3 separate regions of the Mus musculus genome follow, and regions 2 and 3 are each reported to be linked to region 1. The links are microRNA targets in miRTarBase. Many come from high-throughput screens and were not tested one by one. Region 1 holds a microRNA gene; each other region holds the end of a gene's coding sequence.
The links. Region 1 holds the annotated microRNA mmu-miR-486a-5p (UCCUGUACUGAGCUGCCCCGAG, at 4,556-4,577, opposite strand). A microRNA usually pairs through its seed, bases 2 to 8, with sites in the 3' UTR of a target mRNA and lowers its output. Matches are read on the target gene's strand: a 7mer-m8 pairs with bases 2 to 8, a 7mer-A1 pairs with bases 2 to 7 and ends in A, and an 8mer does both.

Region 2: miRTarBase lists Tns3 as a target of mmu-miR-486a-5p. Seed matches in the 3' UTR shown: 7mer-m8 at 3,077-3,083.
Region 3: the mRNA of Pten is a reported target of mmu-miR-486a-5p. Seed matches in the 3' UTR shown: 8mer at 5,439-5,446 and 8mer at 2,984-2,991.

Annotation. Positions count from the first base shown.
Region 1 is chr8:23,140,164-23,147,163 of GRCm38, reverse strand. Mir486 (microRNA 486) reads right to left here and starts at 4,609; the gene lies at 4,482-4,609. Ank1 (ankyrin 1, erythroid) reads right to left here. Exons shown (of 44, transcript NM_001110783.3): 41 at 6,936-7,000; 42 at 5,935-6,000; 43 at 5,444-5,568. The coding sequence ends at 5,470. It overlaps Gm15816 (predicted gene 15816), which reads left to right. Exons shown (of 6, transcript NR_169137.1): 3 at 3,960-4,040; 4 at 5,899-6,339; 5 at 6,921-7,000. It overlaps Mir3107 (microRNA 3107), which reads left to right and starts at 4,502; the gene lies at 4,502-4,591.
Region 2 is chr11:8,428,758-8,435,923 of GRCm38, reverse strand. Tns3 (tensin 3) reads left to right here. Exons shown (of 31, transcript NM_001083587.1): 29 at 10-78; 30 at 182-208; 31 at 1,286-4,272. The coding sequence ends at 1,430. Among named protein-coding and RNA genes, the nearest start is that of Tns3, 230 kb to the left of the region's middle.
Region 3 is chr19:32,819,032-32,826,197 of GRCm38, reverse strand. It overlaps Pten (phosphatase and tensin homolog), which reads right to left. Exons shown (of 9, transcript NM_008960.2): 9 at 38-6,355. The coding sequence ends at 6,170. Among named protein-coding and RNA genes, the nearest start is that of Pten, 65 kb to the right of the region's middle.

The sequences.
Region 1 (7,000 bases):
GATTGGCTCTGACTTCATGGCAATCCTCCAGTCTCAGCATCCTGAGTGATGGGGTGACAGATGTGATCTACCATGCCTGGCTGGGAAGGCCACTGAGATGAAGAGAGTTGACGGTGCTCTGGGAAGAGGCGTAAAGGTTGGAAGTCATTCTGAGGCAGAGCTGTTCCCAGGCATAGAGCTGTCCCAAGCTCTACAGGTGACAGAGCCGTGGGTATATTGAGCACAACCAACATGACTCATCTCCATGGTTCCCTCGGGGGTATGTGGGGGACAATGCCAAATGTTTTGCCTGCAGCTGTGAAGATTAAAAGTCAGGCATTCTTGCTGGGCAGAAGAGAGCTGCCATTTGAGAGATGAGATTCTGCCCTTCCTAGGCTACCTTCTCCTCTAGTCCTATTGCTAGGCTGTGTGCTCATATGCCCCCTCCCCAACGCTGCCATCTTCTCTCCTCAACTTCTGTTCCTGCCTCAGACTTGCCCTTCACTTCAGGCTGTCCTTTCCCACGACTACCCATTGGCTAAGAGACACATAAGGGGCAGAGGGGTCAAGAGCAGGAATTCTGAAGCTAGACTGTTCAGGTTCGAACCCTGCTTCTGTCTTTACTGGCTGCCTAGCTTTGGTCAAACGTACTCGGCTGCTCTTCAGCTCTGTTTGCCCTGCTTGTGAGATGGGGCCGCAGTAGGACCCATCACTGTGATGTGTGCATGTGCTGAGACGGGTCCGTGGAGGACGGAGGGGTCAGGGAGCATCCAGGGAGCATGCTGGACTTAACTTGTGAGTATCTGGCTCTTGGAAAGTGCTGCACCTAACTTGTTGTTTATTTATTTTTCTAACCAGCTTCGCAGTTGCTCTGGCTGGATTATGAGCACTGGAGGGTGGGGGCCCCTTCTCCAAATTCCCTACAGTGCCTACCCCAGAATTAAGCATTCCTCAGAGAGACAACATGAAAGCCGAGATTCTAGATACACAGGCTGAGTTCCCACCTGCTTACGGCCAGGTCCTTGAGAGGGCTCAAGCTTCAGAGATCACTCCGGAGTAAGCACCCCCTCCCCCCCTTTTTAGAGGTGAGTGGTAGGCTAAGACCTAAGTGGAACAGACACAGGTCCAGCTGGAGCAGCTGGTGGCGCAGGGGTGGAGTAACACGAGCCTTCAGGCTACAGCCAGGATTTCTCCATGCCATCAGTGCCACCGGGCCTCCTCCCTAAGCCACTCTCTGAAAAAGGCCAGTCCTCTCAAAGCTTAGGAGATGACACCCCAAAGTGCTCAGAGCCCCTTCGCCTTCGCAGCCAGGATCCTCGTTTTCTCCCCATGCTCGGGCACCTGCCCCCACATCTATGCCCGTGGCTCTCACCAGTGACCCTTCGCTTCCTACTCTGATGTCCTCCTTCAAGTGGCTGCATAGGATAACTGATTCTAGCTTAAAACAAAGCGAAACAAAACATGCCTTCCTACTTCCTCCCACTGAAACGCTAGATTTTTCAGAACAGTCTATCGTCAGAACTAATGGAAGTCTCTGAAGCACACTGTTTGTGTGGAAAGTGTTCTCTAAAAGGAAAACAGACTTTCAACATGCATATAATCACAGGGCTCCTCCTTCCTCAGCTCCTGGGAGAGTCCTGGAGGGAACAGCCATGCACACACAGAGGGTATCAAGAACTAGTACCCTTCCCAGCCAGACTCCTGGTACCCCCAGGGCTGCACCATAGCCGATGCTCCAGTGCCCTTAGCTGCTCGCTGCATCCAGTTTTCCCAGCAGTCCTGGTACCTTAACACTCAGGCACAGTACAAGACCCGCCAGTGCCAATGAGCCTTGACCTCTCAGACAGAAAACAGCAATTTTCTGGCTTCTTCACTCTAGGACTTTCCAGTGCAAGGGGAGACTGGCAGGATCAGAACAAAGCTCAGCAATGCCTTGCTCACCAGAGTGTAGAGTCCTCTAAACAAATGCTCCTCATCCTCCACTTTAGCCTGCTTTTAGATATGATTCTTGTACTATGCCAGACGACGTGAGAGGAGTTTGAGGAGAAGGGTCAAAATCCGGCATAACAACTCGACTTTCACCATGCATCTAATCCCAGGGACGGCATAGTGACGGATACTGACATCCTGGGTTTTAACTGAGCAGAACTGCAGCCGAGAACAGCAGCTCAGTCTCTCGCAGGCCTGCAAGCTTCTATGCCCCGGCCCCGGGGGTCTGTATCTTCTTAGCAGGATATGGACTACGCCCTGAGAAAGAGCACTGTCGACCCTCGCACTCTGTAAAGCCCTTCCTCAAAAATAAGAGCATCTGCTACCGTACAGCAGTTCCACAAGGAACGTGCTGGCATTATTGCGACGCGTGGGTGGAAACGCTGAGGCGTAGGAAAGTCAATTGACTTGCCCTGAGTCACACTACAAACAACACCTGTCACTGATGGGACGCCAGAGTGTATACACCTTTACTCCTCACGACACGACACCTCTCATAGTTTCTATTTGCGCCCCCACTCCCCTGCCACACCCACGCTGGGGCTGGAACCTGGGGTTTCAGGCAGGCTGAGCATGCACTCTGCCGCTGGGCCACACCCTGTTCTGCACGCATTTTTTAAATTGATAAGTAACACATATCCAGGAGAGACTATCTCCATCTTTCCTTGAGGCGTACAAAGCTGGGGATAGTTGAGTGACTTAAGGTCATACCATTTGGGACCAGAATGGGGGAGCCAAGTCTTGAATCTGGACTCCAAGGCTAGTTTTTACACTTGGAACATATAAGATGCTTTTCATTATTCACAGTAGTCCTGGTCTATAAAGTATGAGCGTGGGATTAGCGAATACTGAATCACCGCTCCCAAGGGACATGCAAGGTCATGCTTTCCTCAGCCAGCGACTCCATCAGCATGCTGCGTGTGTATTTCTTTTTGAGGGTGGCACATCGCATGTATGCAGGCCATTCACTCGTGCTCACCCCATTGCCATCAACACAGTGCCTCAGGAAGACTTAGAACTCATCTTCCCCGGACAGACAGAACGTCCACACAAACAGTGAAACAAACGATGAAGAACTTGGAAATGCACTGTGTCGTTAAATAGATTAAAAATAAAGGGCAGCATGAGACCCAGGAAAAGGTGGAGCTGGGGACGGCACATGCCCATCACTTTGTGGTCACCTTTGTCTGTGTGTCTGGGAATGACTGAGCACGGAAGGACTGGGTGCTCATTTTTGGATTTCAAGAAAGGTTTAGGGCGTAGGCAAATCGGAAGAGGAATGACAAGGATCGGCTGGACTGCCTGTGGGGCGGGGGTTGGGGGCAGTGGTGGTGGGGACGGAGCCTGAAGCCCTTTGGTAACTTCTTACTGAGGATGGGCCACTCTTGCTGCTCCACAACCTGGTCAGACCTGGGCAGGAGCCTGCCACTGCACGCTCTTCTGCCCAGTCACTACCCCAGTCACCCACCCTCTGTCTTTTGTTGGCAGAGGCTAAGTACTGTCCAAACCAGGCTGCTCAGAATTCCTGACTCCTAAACTCATGAGGTCTGGTGGCAAATATCCCCCTCCTTCCCTTTCTCCCTTTCTCTCTCTCTGTAGTGTGTATGTGAGAGAGTGTATGTGTGTGTGTATGTAAGTGTGTTGTGCCTGTGTGTGTATGTGTGTGTGTATGTGTGTTGTGTTATGTATTTAGTATGTGTGTTGTGTTGTGTGTGTGTAGTGTGTGTATATGTAGTGTGTGTGTGGTGTGTGTGTGTGTGTGTGTGTGTAAGTGTGTTGTGCCTGTGTGTGTGTATGTGTGTTGTGTTGTGTATTTAGTATGTGTATGTGTGTGTGTTGTGTTGTGTGTGTGTAGTGTGTGTATATGTAGTGTGTTGTGTGTGTGTGTGTGTGTATGTGTGTAGTGTGTGTGTGTGTGGGGGGGTGTTGGGGCAGGGGCATGCCGGGTACAGTAAATTAATGAAACACTCTACTTCTGCCCTGTCCTTCAGCTGCCTTGCCGTTGCTGCCTCCCATTGAGGCCCTGGATAAAGTCTCAGCCAACAAACACAAGTGCAAGTCCGGCTGCCACTGTAAGAAAGATAGGGCTGAAGAAGACATTCTCCCTCCCTCCCTCCTTTAAAAATGACTCGAACCTTTGGGTTGTTTCCCAGCCGGGATCAAGAGCGAGTCTTGGCCTTTAAATCAGCAGACATGCAGGACCCTCCTGGCAGTGCTGGGGTTAACACTGTGACCTCCTTACAGCTGCTGAGGAGTCAGGGCTAATTTTACTCTCCTATCGGGCTCTGCCCAGCCTCATATTGTCCAAGTGCTGAGATATGTTGGGAAGCATCAAGTCAGCACTTCTGCCGGCCCAGGAGGCTGCGCGGGCCCTGCTTTTTGCAGAAGGCAGAAAACCAGTGACTGCCTGCTGCTCGGCTCTGGAGCTGGGCCCTGAGAGTTCAGGGGTGGGGGTGGGTGGGGGAAGGGGCAATAACCCAGTTAGTGCTGTGCATGGGCAGAGGCTGTGATGCTGGCTTGTTCCCCGTTGTCTCCCACCCTGACGCATCCTGTACTGAGCTGCCCCGAGCTGAGCACAGTGAAGGACCTCGGGGCAGCTCAGTACAGGACCCCTCAGGGAGGGCGAGATCAGAGCTGGCTGCTGAGGCTGGCTCTTGGGCACTGCAGCCTGCTGAAGATCTTCGTTGCGTAGCCTGGCCCACCCATCCTTGGCCCCCGCCCTGACGCACACCCCTCACACACTAGTACAGCCGTTAGCCATGAAGACCTTCCTCACTTCCAGGGAAGATTCTACCTATGCCTTGGGTCTGCTAACTTAGTTCCTTCTCAGACATCAAGCGAGCAGCCTTGTTCTCAGAACAGTAATCGAATTAAAGCTATGGCAGGTTAGGACTCCAGTGAGCCTTAAGGTTTATGTCTGGCGTGCTTTCTGACCATGTGTAGTGAGATAGGCTCAGACTGTGTTTTGAGCACTACTTCAAAGCACTATTTTAACATTATACTGGTACAGTCAGGCATGGTGCTGCATGCCTTTAATTCCAGTACAGAGGCAGCTGGATCTCTGTGGGTTCAAGGCCAGCCTGGTCTATTTAGCAAGTTCCAGGACAGCCAGGGCTATATAGAGAGACTCTGTTTATAACTAAATTGCACAGGGACTGAAGGTGTGGCTCAGAATGCCTATCTCTGGTCCCACCCCCCTAACACAGCCAAAAAAGACAAAAGAAAATATAAATAAGCAAAATAAACCCAAGCCCCTGATTTTGTGTACTCTCCAGCAGACTGGTGTCAACAGAGAGGCACAGGTCTGAAGAGGACGTGGAGGGGCAGAGACAGTGGCTAGTTTGAGGAGTGGGATTCTGAGAGTCTGGTTTTAACTCTGAACTGAGCTAGTAGTGCAAGGATGGGGTGGGTTGGGAGCAGCAAGCAGCTACCTCATCAAGGACCATGCCAGCAAGGACGAGAAAGCCACTGTTACCTCCCAAGGGGCTACTTGAGGAGAGGTCACTGCTTGCCCCTTTTCAGGCTGGCCCGCTTCACTATCTGAGCCCCCTTCCTGCCCTCTATCAGGTCCGGCTGGAGTCCACTCCCTCTTAGCTCCACCTGGAGACAGCATCAGAGACAGAAAGTAGGAAATCACACAGGCAGATGAGCAAGCTCGGGCAGGAAGTGAGAAGGGTCAGGACAGAGAGGAGTAGGAGGAGGAGGAGGAGGAGGAGGAGGAGGAGGAGGAGGAGGAGGAGGAGGAGGAGGAGGAGGAGGAGAAGGAGGAGGTGGGAACACCATCTGTCCGCCAGAAAGGTAGCCAGGGGCAGCATTGCAACCTGGAGCAAAGTAGAGGTGAGGCGGAGGTGAACTTGCTGCGGCCTCCAGGGGCCTGCAGTGCCTTGGTACCTTAGTAAGTTTCATAAAGGACTCAATATCTGCTTCCAGATCCCCAGGGTCTGCCAGGGGACCCTCGACAATCACCTCCTCGTGCTGCTGGGTGTCGATGGCACCAGACGAGTCTACCTGCCGGACGACTTTGCGAATGATCTGGAAAGAGAGGGGAAGAGAAGGAGAGATGGTCAAGTCGTCAGGACAACATTTGAGAAGAACAGGGCTCCAGCAGAGGCACCAGGAGGAGAGGCCATGGCTTCCTGTCCCCCGGAGCCAAGAAGAAGCCTTTCTCTGCTGTCATCTATGGGGAATGTCGGTGGGGCTTGGACTGGGGAGCACGGCTGGCAGGGCTTCGGCAAACATTGGCTTGGGCACGCGCAGCGCTGCCTCAGCCCTCCGCCATCCCACTCTGTTCCTTGGAATGGATGGAAGTTCGGTCTGACTATCGTGCCTCTACAGTGCCTAAGGACAGAGGCAGGCAACCCTTCTATCCATGTGCGTCTGCTCTACTCACCTTCTCTGTGTCCATTTATCCAGAATGGGAGGTGAACATAAACCATGGCTTAGGCCTTTAGGGAGGGGCAAGGACAGACAGGGGCCATCATTCCTTATGTGAACAGTGGTCCTAGTGAGTGGCACAGGCGCGCACGCGCCATGTCCTGCTCTCTCCCATTGCCTCATGGGGCAATGTCCGCCAAGCAGCACAAGCTTATCATGTGGAGGTCTGCTGCCAGTTTGATGAGTTCTTACAGCCCTTCTAAGGGAGCCCCCAAGAACAGGTCCCTGTTTTCTAACAGCTCCTTCTATGGCCAGGCTTCACAGGACTAGGGCTGTGTGTTTCATGGGAGCTGGAAATGGGCAGCTGGACCTCTTCATGTTGAGTTAAGCTTTAAGGTGACAAGGCCCTCAGATTGTAGAGGACCCAGAGGTCTCAGCTCTCCTGAGTTACCCCGAAAGCTCTGAGGTGGGGGGGAGGAACAGCCTGCCCACCCTGTTTGGGCAGCAGTAAGAAGCTGCTCTAAGCTGAACCCCTCCACTTTTCTTCTTTAGTCTCACCCAGTTTCTCCTCAATGCAGAGGCTCTGCTCTTACCTTCTTGGTAACAATGTTGCCCTGTTCATCTGTGAATTGTTCCTCCGTCACCTGCTCTCCTGGAA
Region 2 (7,166 bases), not on the chromosome of region 1:
ACCCAACAGGCTCTTCTTCCGGAGGCATTACCCGGTCAGCAGTGTGATTTTCTGTGCTTTGGATCCACAAGACAGGAAGTAAGAGTTTTGCATTCTTATAACTGAAAAGTATACCTCTTTTATCCTTTAATTTAAAAAAAAAAAAGCTAACGTAAAATTCTTCTCCCCTTCAATTCTCAAGGTGGATCAAAGATGGCCCTTCTTCTAAGTAAGTTGCCAGCCTTTCTCTATTTGAAAATCACAGTGCACAGCTGACCTCACTTCTAGATTTGCAAAGAAGGACTTATTTAAAAGATCAGACAAAGCAAAGCAGTCATTGTCGGTGGGATCATTTGTTTGACTTAACTGAAAGTAGAAAATTAGAGAGTAAGAAGTGTTCTGATATCAGAGCCCACACCTAGACGGTGTTGGCTTGTCCATTGTCGTGGGCTGGAGGAGCCCTGTCTATATTGTATCTGTAGTGTTCTTTACACACTGAGACAGATTTCTTAGTCCAGCCATTTAAGAAGGTGCTGGTACTGCTGAAAACCCCAGATCTGCTTGTGTGGGCAGAGGTGAAGCCCTTTGGCAACATTTCCCAATCTGGAGGGAGCCTGCTTTGTTCCTTTGGCCAGCGAGTTCTTGTTCCCTCTGCTTTGCACTGCTATCAAGGTGGTCAGAGGAGCCTGATCCTCGCCCTCCCCACGCACAGAGGCTTCACTGTCTGTGGCTGTCAGACTAGCTCCTTTTACATGGTCCACACTGCTGATCGCACATGTTCATCAGGTGCCTCCTTCCCGGCAGGCCCATTTCAGAGTTTCTCCTGCTCTGGAGAACAGGTCAGTAGTAGTAGTAGACAGCCACAACTTCGGAAGCGATCACAGTTGCACAGGCCTGAGATGAGTTCTTGGCATGTTAGCTTTCTTGTTTGGGGTATCTAGTCTGGACTGGGCTGGGAGCTTCTAGGGTTTTCCTGGAGGCCTAAAGTCCTGACCTTCCATGGGAGACCCTGATTTTACATAGCCAGCTGGAGCTCAGGACTCCATAGAAGGTGTCTGGAGGACCCCTAGACCTCCAGCAGAGGTGCTAAGGAGCAAGCAGAGCCTCAGTTTTGATTCAAGCATCCTTCTAGGCTCAGTGGTCAGGTAGTAGACAGGTCTCTAAGCTAGTGCTTGGCACATCGTAACCTGCAGGGGCAGTCTGTACTGTTCCCAGGTTGCTATCATGAGGAAGAGAAAGCCTGCATGCATGCATGGTGCTTGCTGCACACGGTACTGGCTCCTCTGACTAGACTTGTCTCTTGCAGAGTCTTTGGATTTGTGGCCCGGAAACAGGGCAGTGCTACAGACAACGTATGCCACCTGTTTGCAGAGCATGACCCCGAGCAACCTGCCAGTGCCATTGTCAACTTTGTGTCAAAGGTCATGATTGGCTCCCCTAAGAAGATCTGAGCCCTTCCTAGCCAAACCTGCCAGATGCCTCATAGGGCCCTCAACATGGCAGTGGGGTGAGGCAGGGCCCCCATTCGTACCAGATTGACAATCTTCACATTCCAGACTCAACAAGAGGAGAAGAATATGACAACTCTTCAAACCAAGAACAAACAATGTCACCACTGACTGGCCTTAAAGAAGCTGCTCTTCCGACACACCTATATAGTCAGGCGCATTTTGAGTGGATGGATCTTGGCCCGGGAAATGCCTCATCAGGGCCCCAAGGACAAGGGCTGTACAAGGAGGGAGCATGGAAGACAAGGCTGTCCCCAGTCCCTGGCTCATTAGCATCTGTGTGGAGGAAGAGCATCTGTCCTGCTTGACAGGGACTGAGTAGCCATGGCACCCACTTGTCAGCAGAAATGCTCCCTCATCTTGTCTTTCTACATCAGTGATGGAACTGAGGAGGAGATGCATGGTCAGTGAAGGTCTGAGCAGGTTGGAACATGGCGGGGACCTAAGTCAGGGGCAGCGGAAGGGATGTGAGGTGAGGGCAGTGGAGAAAGCCTCTGGGGTCAGGGAGGACCACGTGGGGTCTGAGAGCCACTGCTGGGGGGTAAGGACTCTGTGATTCTGCTCTCAGGTTGTCACCTGGGCTGTGGAGAGCCTAGAGGACCTGGAGAGGAAAATGAGAAGATGGAATCAAAAATGCCATTTTATATAATATATATTTTACTTATGCCAAATTATTTATAACCGCTTGCCATTGCCATACCGTACCCATGTCAAATGCTGCAGCCGACTAAGCTGTGATTACTAGGAGGCTTGTCCCCTTGTAGACACACCAGAGACAGCTGGCCCGTCAGCTGGAAGGGGAACAGTGGTCTCAGGGTGATGCCACGAGATCCTTCTCCTGTAGTACTGCCAAATGGATTTGCCTTAAGCAGCCTCCCTACCCTCTGCCTGGCGCAGCAACATGTCTTGTCCAGATGCAGATGGTTTTGTTCCTGATGGAAACGTCTGGGAGACGTGGAAGACTAAGACACTGACGTCAGTCTCAGCCTCTTCTGCAGGACTGGCTGGGCCATGTAGAGGTCTGCGTCATCTAAAGCACACGTGGCCTTTTACCGTGATGCTCCTGTGGTACCTGCAGCTTCCGAGGGGAACTTCTGTGGGGTCCAGAGGGGGAGAAGGGATGAAGGGAAAGATCAAGAACTCCAGCACTCACGGCTACGTTTGATTTGCTGAGTCATCTTAGTTACTGAGTCAGGTGTGATGGTTCTTGCTAAGATGGGCATCCCCCTGCTGCAGGCTTCCTGTGCCCAGAGATTCGGAAGAATGCGGTAAGCCCGTCCTTCCCAGGGTGGAGGTGGAGGAGGGCTCCGGCTCCGTGGAGACAAAGCCAGGGTCTCCTCAGTCAGAACCTTCTACCCCAGGAAGGCTCTGAGAATTCCTGGCCTGGCCTGAAATTCCCACTCTTTGCCTTCTAAAATCCAGACCTAGCTTCCACATTTCACGTCCAGGACAGGCTACAGTTGTTAAGCTGGGATTTTTGTGGTGAATTCTGTTTCAAAAGGGGCAGAGATGTAACTATGTGTAGAATTGGGATCAACTGTCAGGATGAGTGTGTGTGTGTGTGTGTGTGTGTGTGTGTGTGTGTGTGTGTACAGGTGGACTATTCCATTTTTGCTCATGTGTATGTCTGTGTGTATACAGGTGGACCATTCCACTTTTTGCTCATGTATGTCTGTGTGTATACAGGTGGACCATTCCACTTTTTGCTCATGTATGTCTGTGTGTATACAGGTGGACTATTCCACTTTTTAGCTCCTATTGATGCACCAAAAGCAAGTGCCTCATTTCTGTGCCAAATGTTTGCCTTGGTCTTTAAGGACCTCCTTCGTGGACACTCTGATGTGCCTGTTAGAGGGAATGTGCCACCATTCCCTAGAGGCCCCATGTCTTCCACAGAGGCTTCTAGTGTTCCAGTTACTCATATGCAGCTAAACTCCAGATGGGGGCAGGGGTGGGGCTGAAGTTTGTGCTCTAAGAAGTATCACATCCTATGATTATAAGTTTATATGCAGATGTGGCCCAGAGATCACAGCCCCGCACTCTTTTCCTCCCGCTGGAGGGGGGTGGGGGTGGGGGGAGAGGGCCTAATTAGAAATCAGCTGGGCTCTGCTGAAGCCCAGCTTTCCGGTGAATTGAATGCCACAAAGGTTGGCATGGAATGCATCCAAGAAGCCACACGAATGTGCTTTCAAAACTGACCGGTGAGGTATGATTTTTACTCAAGATAAAAGTAGTCAAGGGTATCAATGGATCTGATCTGAGGAAACACAGGAAGACAGCTCTACAACTGTCTACAACAGCTGGTAGGGCAAGGCTCTGTCTTCTGTGTGTGACGCGTGTATTGAACAGAACAAGAACAGTATCATAGACTATACCGTGTGCTCAGAAACACTGCGAAAGGAGTATTGCCCAGGCTTTTGCTACAAGGCCATCGGTTGGGCACAAGTTAGTACATTATTCTATGAGTAAATTCAATGATGTCCCACCACTTCCAATAGATAGCCAGGGTCCCATTAACCTTCTCATTAACGGTCTTATAGTTTCCAGTGTTGGGCTGTATCCATGTTAAAAGCCACACTGCATTTATCTTCAGTGTCAAAGACATTGTAATGCCGCCATATCTGTCTTATCTATTAGCGCAGTTTTCACTATTCTATATTGTAAAGAATATATATCCAGTATGTAAATGAGTGTTCTATAAACCTTTTGTATAGGCATTTCCTCTGCTCTTTAAATATCAGCCTTATTCAGAGTATAATAAAAATTATGACCTTGGTAAGTCTAATGAAGCATTTTTTTAAGTCTTTGTTGTACGTGTGTGTGTGTGCCCATACCTTTGCTCCTGTGTTTGTGAGTATGCGAGCACATGTGCCTGCCATGCGTAAAGATTAGATGACAACCTTGGTTGTTGGTCCTTAACTCTCACCTTGTTTGAAATAGTCTCTTACTGTCTCACACATATGCCAGGCTAGTTGTTCCAGAGACTTCTTGGGTTTCTGTCCCCTCCACCTCACATTTGAGGGAACACTGCGGTTATGGACAAACAACACCACACCAGCTTTACGTGGATTCTGGGTATTTGAAGTCACGTGGTCAAGCTTATGTGACACGTATTCTCCCCCCCTTACTGATCCATTCATCTTGCTCTGAACAGTCACTTTTGTACCCCAGACTGTATGTGCATTGTACGTGTGTGTGTGTGTGTGTGTGTGTGTGTGTGTGTGTGTGTGTGTGTGTGTGCACCTGTGTACTGCTGTGTCTGACTGCCAGGGTTTGAGTTTGGGTTTTTGTTTTTTCTGATGTCTGTTTTATGGGTCACGGTGTTCATAACTGCCTATTTACATGTTTTGCTTTTGGGAACATACTGTAGGTTGGCTATCAAAGACCTTGAAAAAATTATATTCAAATTATCTTTAAATCGCCAAGCCAGGTATGGGGGCACACACTTGCAATACCAGCACTTGGGAGACAGAGGAAGAACGATTGATGCATTCTCCAGATCAGCCAGTGGTGCACAGCAAGACACCCCCCCAAAACAAACAAACAAACAAACAAAACAAAACAAAAAACAAAAAAACAGTAGGGCTGGAAAGATGGCTCAGTGGTTATACACACTGGCTGCTTTTCCAAAGGACCTGAGTTCAATTCCCAGCACCCACATTGGCAGCTCACAGTTGTCTGTAATTCCAGTTTTAGGGGATTGGATATCCTTACGCAGACATACATGTAGGCAAACCACCAATGTACATAAAATAAAAATAATAACAAAAAGTGAAACTATAATCTTGGGAACCCAGAGGCTAATACAGGAATTTGCCGTTAGTTTAAGGCAGGTGTGGACTTGCATAATGAATGCCAGGCTAGCCTGAGTTACAAAGTGGGGCACTCTCAAATCACAGCTAATTTTGAAAAATGTAACAGCAGTGCCCTGGCAAGGTAGCTTAGGGAAAAACCTTTGCCGCACAAGGCCTGGGTTCAGTTCGTGGACCCTGCGGTCCGCAGGAGAGCCAAACCCTGAAGTTTCCTCTGACCTCCATACACAGGCTTCCCAAAGTGTATCCAGGGCTGGAGAGACGGCTCAGCGGTTAGGAACACTGACTGTTCTTCCAGAGGTCCTGCGTTCAATTCCCAGCAACCACATGGTGGCTCACAACCATCTGTAATGGGATCTGTTGCCCTCTTCTGATGTGTCTAAGGACAGCAACAGTGTACTCACATACATAAATAAAATCTTACAAAAAATAATAACATTTAAAAACTAATATCTGAGTGCGGGGATGGTGACTGCCCTGGGGTAGTTTTGATGTACTGCGTTCTTACCTCCGCTCCATTCTAGCACCATGAAAGGACTCTTGCCATCTCTGTCTACCTGCAGTCTGAACATTCTAAGCCTGGAGCAACCAGAACGCCCAGTACTACGTACCCAGTACTATGTGTACCCAGTATTACATAGCCCTCACCTTAGCTTTCCTCCACCTCCCTTTGAGGATCTGCTGGCTTTTTGCTCCCTTGAGCTGACCCCATCTATGTGAGTCGGGGTCAGGACCAAGGTCCATCTGCTAACCTACAGGGTCTAAACCCAAAAGGATAGGCTATATCAGGCCCAGCCTGATTATGGACATATAATAAACACAGCTAGCAGCAGTTCTGTGGCCCCCATCTCCTGTGTTGTTGGCCTCTGAGGCTTCTAATGACATTGATCTCATACCAACTTCCCACGTACTGCAGGAAGGTGGGTTTGACATCGATGCAAGTGTTTTATTTCAGAGCCGAGAGCAGACAATTGCTGGTTCAATCTCAACTGGAAGCTACCTGTGGATCCCCGAGCCAGTCACTGCCTGTCCTTTAACAGGATCCCAACAGGGTGTGAGCATGAGCAGCACAGATGTAAAGGTCATTTATGGAATGTGATGTCTAGGCACCCTTGGGTTGGTGACAACAGCTGGCCTTGTAGAACCAACACACATGTTTCTAAGCCCACACAGAAGATCTAATGACTGAGGCGAGGGCTCAGTAGACAGGAGGACGCTGCCGTTCATCCCTCAGCACTTCTTGGGCTGGATGCCTGTACCCACCTTCTGGATCCTCAGTCCAGTGTGCAGTAGACATTCAGACACTCCATGCTGAGGACACAGGTCATAGCCTCTGTGTTTCATCCCAGAGACTCGGGGTCACAGGAAGATCTCACTGCCTTGGAAAATCTCTTGGAGATCGAATGGAGGATTCTTGGGCAGTGTGGAGAGCCGTGCCTCGAGCAATCTCGTGCGTGCCATGAGCAATCGCCATTATAAGATGGCGCTGGCTTCCACTGTGCCTAACTAGTAAGCAAGCCTTATGCACAAGTGCAAGAGTGATAACGATCTTGTCACGGTTTTGTTGGGTTCTGAGCTTACAAACCAACCAGAGCATAAACACAAGTCCACAGCAGGTGGCAACACCAAATAAACCTACCCCCACCCATTCCTTAAAATAAGAAAATGCAGATGAAATCCAGGAGGAGAGGCCCTCTGTCAGTGACAGGTCCACTCGTGTCGAGTTGATCCTGAGAACAGCTGCTCTCAGGGCCTCAAGGGTCTCATCGAATCTTTCAGACGATGACCTAGAGTTGTCTGAGTGAATGTGGGGCCTGCGAAATTATCTGAAAGAATGTTTTATGCCACAGACATTGGTCATAAATGG
Region 3 (7,166 bases), not on the chromosome of region 1:
TGATTCTCGGATGAATAAAAAGCTAAGAAGCAAATCATCAAAAATAATGAACCTTTTTAATTGTTTAAAGGAAAAATATTCTCCACAGGAAGGTATTTCTAGTCTTATGTCCATTGGTAGCCAAACGGAACTTCATAAAAACACTTCCACAACTCCAACTTTGGTTTAATATACAACTTTGATATATCTCATTAATGCACACATCAAGAGGCTAACAAATTCATTAATATTCAAGGTCATCCAAAATTAACATTTTATTACAATAAACTGTAAAATCCCAGTGGGAAAATTTTACTTGAACCAAATTTCATCTCTATTCTAGCACTTTCAAAACTAATTCTCCCATACAAACTCCACAAATAGACACACGCACGGGCGCGCACACGTGTGCACACACACACACACACACACACACACAATGTGCACACTTCCAAACTCAATAGAAAATGAGGACCATTTAATGGAGACAGAAAATAGATACTAAAATGCTGTTTTTAAGTAGGAGTATCATTTAGAAAACTACACAGAACAGGTGGAAAATCTCAAAAGTATACATAACAGCCAGTAAGTAAACACATCTAAACATTAAGAATTTTACTGTAAGCTAAACCACTACAAGCCTTGCTCCATTCTGTATAATCTAACCATTGTGACAGATGAGGTTCCACATGAGAAGACATAAATTATTTTTAATCTTAAAAAACAAAAAATATGAATCCTTGTTAAACATTTCATTTAAAAATATGCAGCTTTATTTTAAATTTAAAATTCAGTATGCTCAAATATGGCAGTTAATGTCTCCCACATATGTAAAAGTTTAAGGTAACACATTTTTTTCATAAATTATAAAATGTTTTCAGCTAAATGTTTCATGAAAATTCTCAAATGACTGTCAAGAGTTTGTCTTGTTGTTAGCCCACCAGAATACTCAACATTCAGAGCTAAAAGGTAACAATTTGTGAAATCTTTAAGATTCTTGTGTGATACAAGTCACAGAAGCACACATATAAAGACAGCTGAGTGACAGATAAATCAGTAGTAGTTCCTGCTTTTACCTAGGGGGCAAGGTAGGTACGCATTTGCTGAGCAAGTTTGCAAAATGCAAGAGGACTCAAAGGGTGACCAAATTCTCTACTCACAGTGCGTCACGCACCACGCTTCAAAGAGAAATACCCACACTGAGCTTGCTCTGCTAAACCAACGTAACTTGTATTTACTGATTCCCCTACCATCCTCACACCAACAATAAACATTCAAATAGGCCCAGAGAGCTGACAAGGTCTCTCTATAATGCACATATCCCATACCTGCTACACTAAAAAGTGATCCATTCAGTGTTCATTTCCTAAAAACTAAGCTAAAAGGCTTTGGAGACATACACAGTACAGGTTTTAGTTTTAAAGAGAAAATGTACATGAGTAAACAGAAAAATGATTGCTTAGTCACTAAAACATACTAATACTGGGTATGCCCCCCCCCCCCAAGGACATGAGAATTGTGATGTTATATTCACAAAGTGTTACAGAGCAACTACATTTAGAGTCAGAGGACTGTTACCGATGACACTATCCTGCCATCTTCACACTGTTTAAAGCTTGCTTACATCCTGATACCTGTTGTTGGAAGATGGGAAAGCAGCTATAGCGTATGCATAAAAACATATTCTAACAGTAAAAGGAACTATACTAGAAGGCTTCCTGTTGCAATGTAATTTCATAGGAAAAATCAGCCTCTTGACTCCTAAAGTGGTCCATTACACTGTGTACAGATTTTAGGGACTGCTCTCTGTACCACATTGAACTGGGTACTCTTGTTTCTACTCAGCAACATTTCTCTCTACCCTAGCAACAAGAATGTTGAATAAAATCCACACACAAGCCACTTAAGACTAAGCTTTAGATGTACCACAAATTATCTAGCAAAGTATACAGGAACTCGAAGTTTCACGTTAGAAGTAAATCAACTGGGCTTAAGGTCTGATTCTCCGGGAGCCCTCAGAAGCCTGCATGTTAAACACTGGTGAGTTTTAAATTCTCAATGGAAATGGTGATGGCATTCACTGAACCAAGTTGGCTTAAATTACAGCACAATGGGGGACATGATCTAAAAGCAAAATGTCAGGAAATTCCTTTTTTTCAAATATCATCAAAATGTCATATAAATCAAAATACCTTTATATTCAAGTTTTCACCAAACTAAGAATTCTAAAGAAAATGTGTGACTACATATAATCTTCATATTTCTTTACATAATTGCATGCTACTCGGTTTGTATTTTTAAATGGGTCACAGAGAAACTATCAACTTCATGTAACATTAAGACTCCACATTGACATTAATGGTCTGCTTACTTCTAAAACATCACAAGTTATCTTACTGTTATATTGAAAGGACTCCTTAGCCTTTAAGAATATTAGAAAGGAGATAGTATATTTGAGCCTACTACTCTGGACAAGTCCCGATGAAACCTCCCATGTGCTGATGGCCAACTGCAGTGTTAAAAAAAACAGAAAGCCACAGAACAGACCTGAGACATCAAGCCCGTTCTTGGGGTTAGGGCTATCTTCAGACATCTGGCTTATAAGAAGAGAAATAAGCACCGTTTTCCAAGAACCTTGAACTTTTTACTGTGCCTGGAATAACTTATTAAGTGATGACTAAGGCTTAAAGTGCTCTTCTTAACCATGAGTAGACAGGTATGTGTCTACCAAGATGACAGAAAGATGCTTTGCTTGGAAGGATAGCAAGGAGGGGGAAAAATAGAAAAATGCACAGGAACTTTGTAATCATATGTGGCTGCCCATTACTGAACATTTTAATGGATTTAAGCAATTTGAATTATAAATACTCTCATTTAATAAAACACCCACACAATGACAAGAATGAGACTTTAATCAGTTTTAAGTGGAGTTTATAACACTAAGAGATAAAGGGTTGTTAACAAACACAGTAACAAATGGACATCTGATTGGTATGAGGCATTATCCTGTACACGTCATATTTGTGTATCCTCAGTGCATAGCATTTACACACAGAGCCACTGCTGCACAGCACAAGAGTATCTGAAGAGGCTGAATCGGGGTAAGGCTGTTTTACAGACTGGATGGTTTTAGTATATATATTCTATATGAAAACAGATCGAACTTTTGAGCTGGCAGGTAGAAGGCAACTCTGCCGAATACTAGAGTAAAAGCCCCCCGTTTAGTGCACAGATCCACCCCTTCCGTCTGCATGCACGACACATTAACAGTATTTAAAGGTAAACGAGGCACTTTGTGGCAACCACAGCCATCGTTATGAACATATTGCACAAATTTTCTAAAACTAAACATGTAACTTGTAACCTACTTTTATTTTTAAAGCTGAAACATTTGATGCTGCCGGTAAACTCCACTTAAGTTTATAACCTGTGCCACAGCAAAGAATGGTGACGCTATTTAATTCAACTACCCTTTTACAATTATGGCAAAAATGTCCAAGAGGAATTACAGAGGACTTGGGATGTACGGGGCCCAACTGTAAGCCTTCTTAAAGGTGATGCCTTCAAGTCATTTCAGACACATAAGCTGCTGCACATCCAAGAGTCTAAGAAAGCATTCCAGAAACACGGGAGAGATCACCTACAGAATGCACTTCAGGCTAATCGTGAATACTGTCATAAAGAAAGTTTGAATTAGGACTCAAAACCCTTTCAGTCATAGCAATTCTTGTCAAATTCTATGGGGATGGTAACTGAAATAAAGTAAGGAGAGTATGTATAATATATATATTTATATATATATAATATATATATAATGCCATTTTTCCATTTCCAATGACTACACCATAAAATGTAAGCAAGGCTTCTCAAAAACACTGAAACATTCAAAATCAAAACCCTCATTCAGACCTTCACATTCCAAAGGAAAAATATTAACAGTGCAACAGCCCATTGTAATGTCATTATTCATGACCTGGCCCTCTGTGTTACATATTGGAACAATACAAGTTATAGTTTAGCATGCTGTGCCCAAAACTAACAAAGAACAGTGTTTATCACTATCTTCAAAACATCAACAGCTGCTTTGCATTTTAGTCAGCCACTTTCAGCTTTTAGGAAAGACAAGGGGGTGTACAGATTTCCATGGTGAGATCTCAGGAAAAGTTGTCTCTGACTTTATCAACAGTCAGTCAATATTCATGTATCAATGTTTAAATATAAATGTGTAAATCCTAAGAGCTTTGTTACAATTTTAAAAACTTTATTGGTTGAGTGAAACTGATGAGGTATGGAAAATACATCAACATTATTTTCTAAGAATATTTTAGATGGCGTTCTGCCTAATCTACTTACCATCAAACTATAAATGCTTCTCTAGTGGGTCCTATGCAATCTGTACTTGTAAATTAACTAGGTCAGACCACAGCTAGTGAACAATTTCAGCACCAATAAGTTATTGAAAATGGGACTTCACACCATTAAGAAATCTAATAATGGCTGGATATTCAAATGTCAAGGTCAAGATATAATTTGAAAGACACCAAATTCCCGAGGGGTTGGGAGGAGATCCTTTGTAATAGCATCTTCACATTACCATTACGATAGTAGTTGTACTCTTGCTTTAAATTGTATGCAGTCTGGGCATATCAAACATAGAATGATATTTAAGAAGTAAAATTGAAGCCCTAATCCCAACTCTACCACTATAACGAAGTGACTCAACACTGCACATTTAAGAAGATCTATTCTTCCAATAGCAAGTCGATAAAGCATCTGTAGGACAATTTCTACTGAAAAACTTCAATGCCTTATTATTCGTGCAGTGCTGTAAATTTACTGCAACTCTAATTTCTTTTTTAACACAAACAATGACTTTTTTAATATACACATTATATGTATTCAGTATTCAAGTAAAATTCCCTAACAGTTAATGACATTTAAAAAAAATGTGCAAAACTGCAAAACTCATTGTAATAGAATGTGTAAGGTCAAAGGGGCTGAACGTCTGACAGCCACTGGACTGAGGACGCGCATCATCAATCTCTAGGAAAAAAAAAAAACAAAACCTGCTTACTGTTGAATCTCAAGTTGAAATTTCCTGTGAAGAATTATAAAATATTTAAGGAGAAAAACAAACTGGCAGCCAGCACATGAAGCATCCACAGTAGGTATATGATTGAAAATTAATAAAAATAAAGGTAAGGTGTTGACTGATGTAGGGACTAATAGCATCTGACTCTTAGCACTGGCCTTGATTACATAGGAGATGGAGCAGTCATTACAACTGAGAAAGCATACTGAATAAATCATTGTCAAATTTTCTGTTTCCAGCCCATCCTTTGTTGAAAGCCTCCACATTTGTATGGTTAAGTCATTGCTGCTGTGTCTTTTATCTATCTATGACCACTTTTTTTATATCCCTTCCTTTGTGGATTCTTAAGATGCTGTAGATGGTTCATTCCTGTACCCCACTACAAATATACTCACTCTAGCTGCCTTGTCTAGCACCAATATGCTCTTTAAAATGCACAAACAAACAGCAGGACAGCAGCCAATCTCTCGGATGTCCAGATTAGTAAGTGGAGCATGCTAAAGAAAGGTGCATCTAAGGAGCTGGAGATGGTGTATGGTCCAGAGCCCAGGTAGAAACATTCCTTTCTGAGCATTCCCTCCATTCCCAACCCAAGTGCATGCATTAGAATCTAACAAAACCCTGCAGAAACTTCCTTAGCCAACTGCAAACTTATCTGTTGCCACAAGTGCAAAGGGGTAGGACGTGAACCCGGGAATCAGAGCTCTTCAGCCACTTCAGCTGGTGACAGAAAATAAAGGAAAAACTCCTGCGTATACACATCAGCCTGTCTCCACTTTTTATAAAACTGGAATAAAATGGGAAAGTGCCATCTTTTATTTATCCTAATTGAATTTTAAATGTCCTTTTGACACAAAAAGGTATATACATGACACAGCTACACAACCTTTTTTTAACTGGACAACAAGTGTCAAAACCCTGTGGATGTATAGGGTAAAACAAGATTGGTCAGGAGAAGAGAATTGTTCCTATAACTGCAATCTGACACAATGTCCTATTGCCATTTAAAAAAAAAAAAAAAAAAAAAAGGTCCATTTCAGTTTATTCAAGTTTTTTTTTTTTCATGGTATTTTATCCCTCTTGATAAGAAAAAAAAAATCAGACTTTTGTAATTTGTGAATGCTGATCTTCATCAAAAGGTTCATTCTCTGGATCAGAGTCAGTGGTGTCAGAATATCTATAATGATCAGGTTCATTGTCACTAACATCTGGAGTCACAGAAGTTGAACTGCTAGCCTCTGGATTTGATGGCTCCTCTACTGTTTTTGTAAAGTATAGTTTCACCTAGAGAAAGAAAGTTTAAGATGAAAATGAACAATTAGAATGAGTTCTGTATTAGCAAAGACATTCTGTTTTGCAGATTTACTTGAAAGTACTATAACAAAATGAATTCTGAAGGGCACTGCTTTTCAGATGACCTGAAGATTGACTACTGTGCTCTCAAAAGACACAATGATGAGTTGAAAGCTATTTTTAAAATACATCAGCCATAAGCACTGTATAATTCTATAAAAGTGCAAACTGAAGGCAATGAACTCACTAAATCACAAAATTCAATTTACAAGTGCTTATGTTTCAAAAACATTTCTCTTGCAATCTCTGAGACAACTCTATGTTTACATTAGTGACACTACACAATACTGATTAATAAGGTCAACTAGCTCTACAACAGTCATCTGACGAGAGAATGGTGCAAGCTAACAGAGCACTCTGTGCTGTGAGGATTGATCAGTAGCCTTTACATGCATGGCTGCAGTTCTTAGGTTATTTCCATTTTAAAAGGTAAGAAACAAAAACCCTGAAGTCTAGGCCACATGCTAAAGGACAATCTCTAGTGAACAATTGGCAGAGACCAGGTTTAAATCATATCTTTGCTCTTTTCCCATTATGCAAGTCATTATAAGTTTTTCTTATAACCAACATTTGCTTTAAAAATCCCCCTTCAAAGTTAGTAATTTACCACTGCTCCTTGCCACTACAGCCCCACGGCCTCTCCTCTCCCTAGTTTCTGAGCCAGTCTCAATTTAGGAAGTGAACTGGAAGGTTAAAAAGCTCAGATTATACCTTCTCTGTGTTCAGCACTCCACACTGCTAC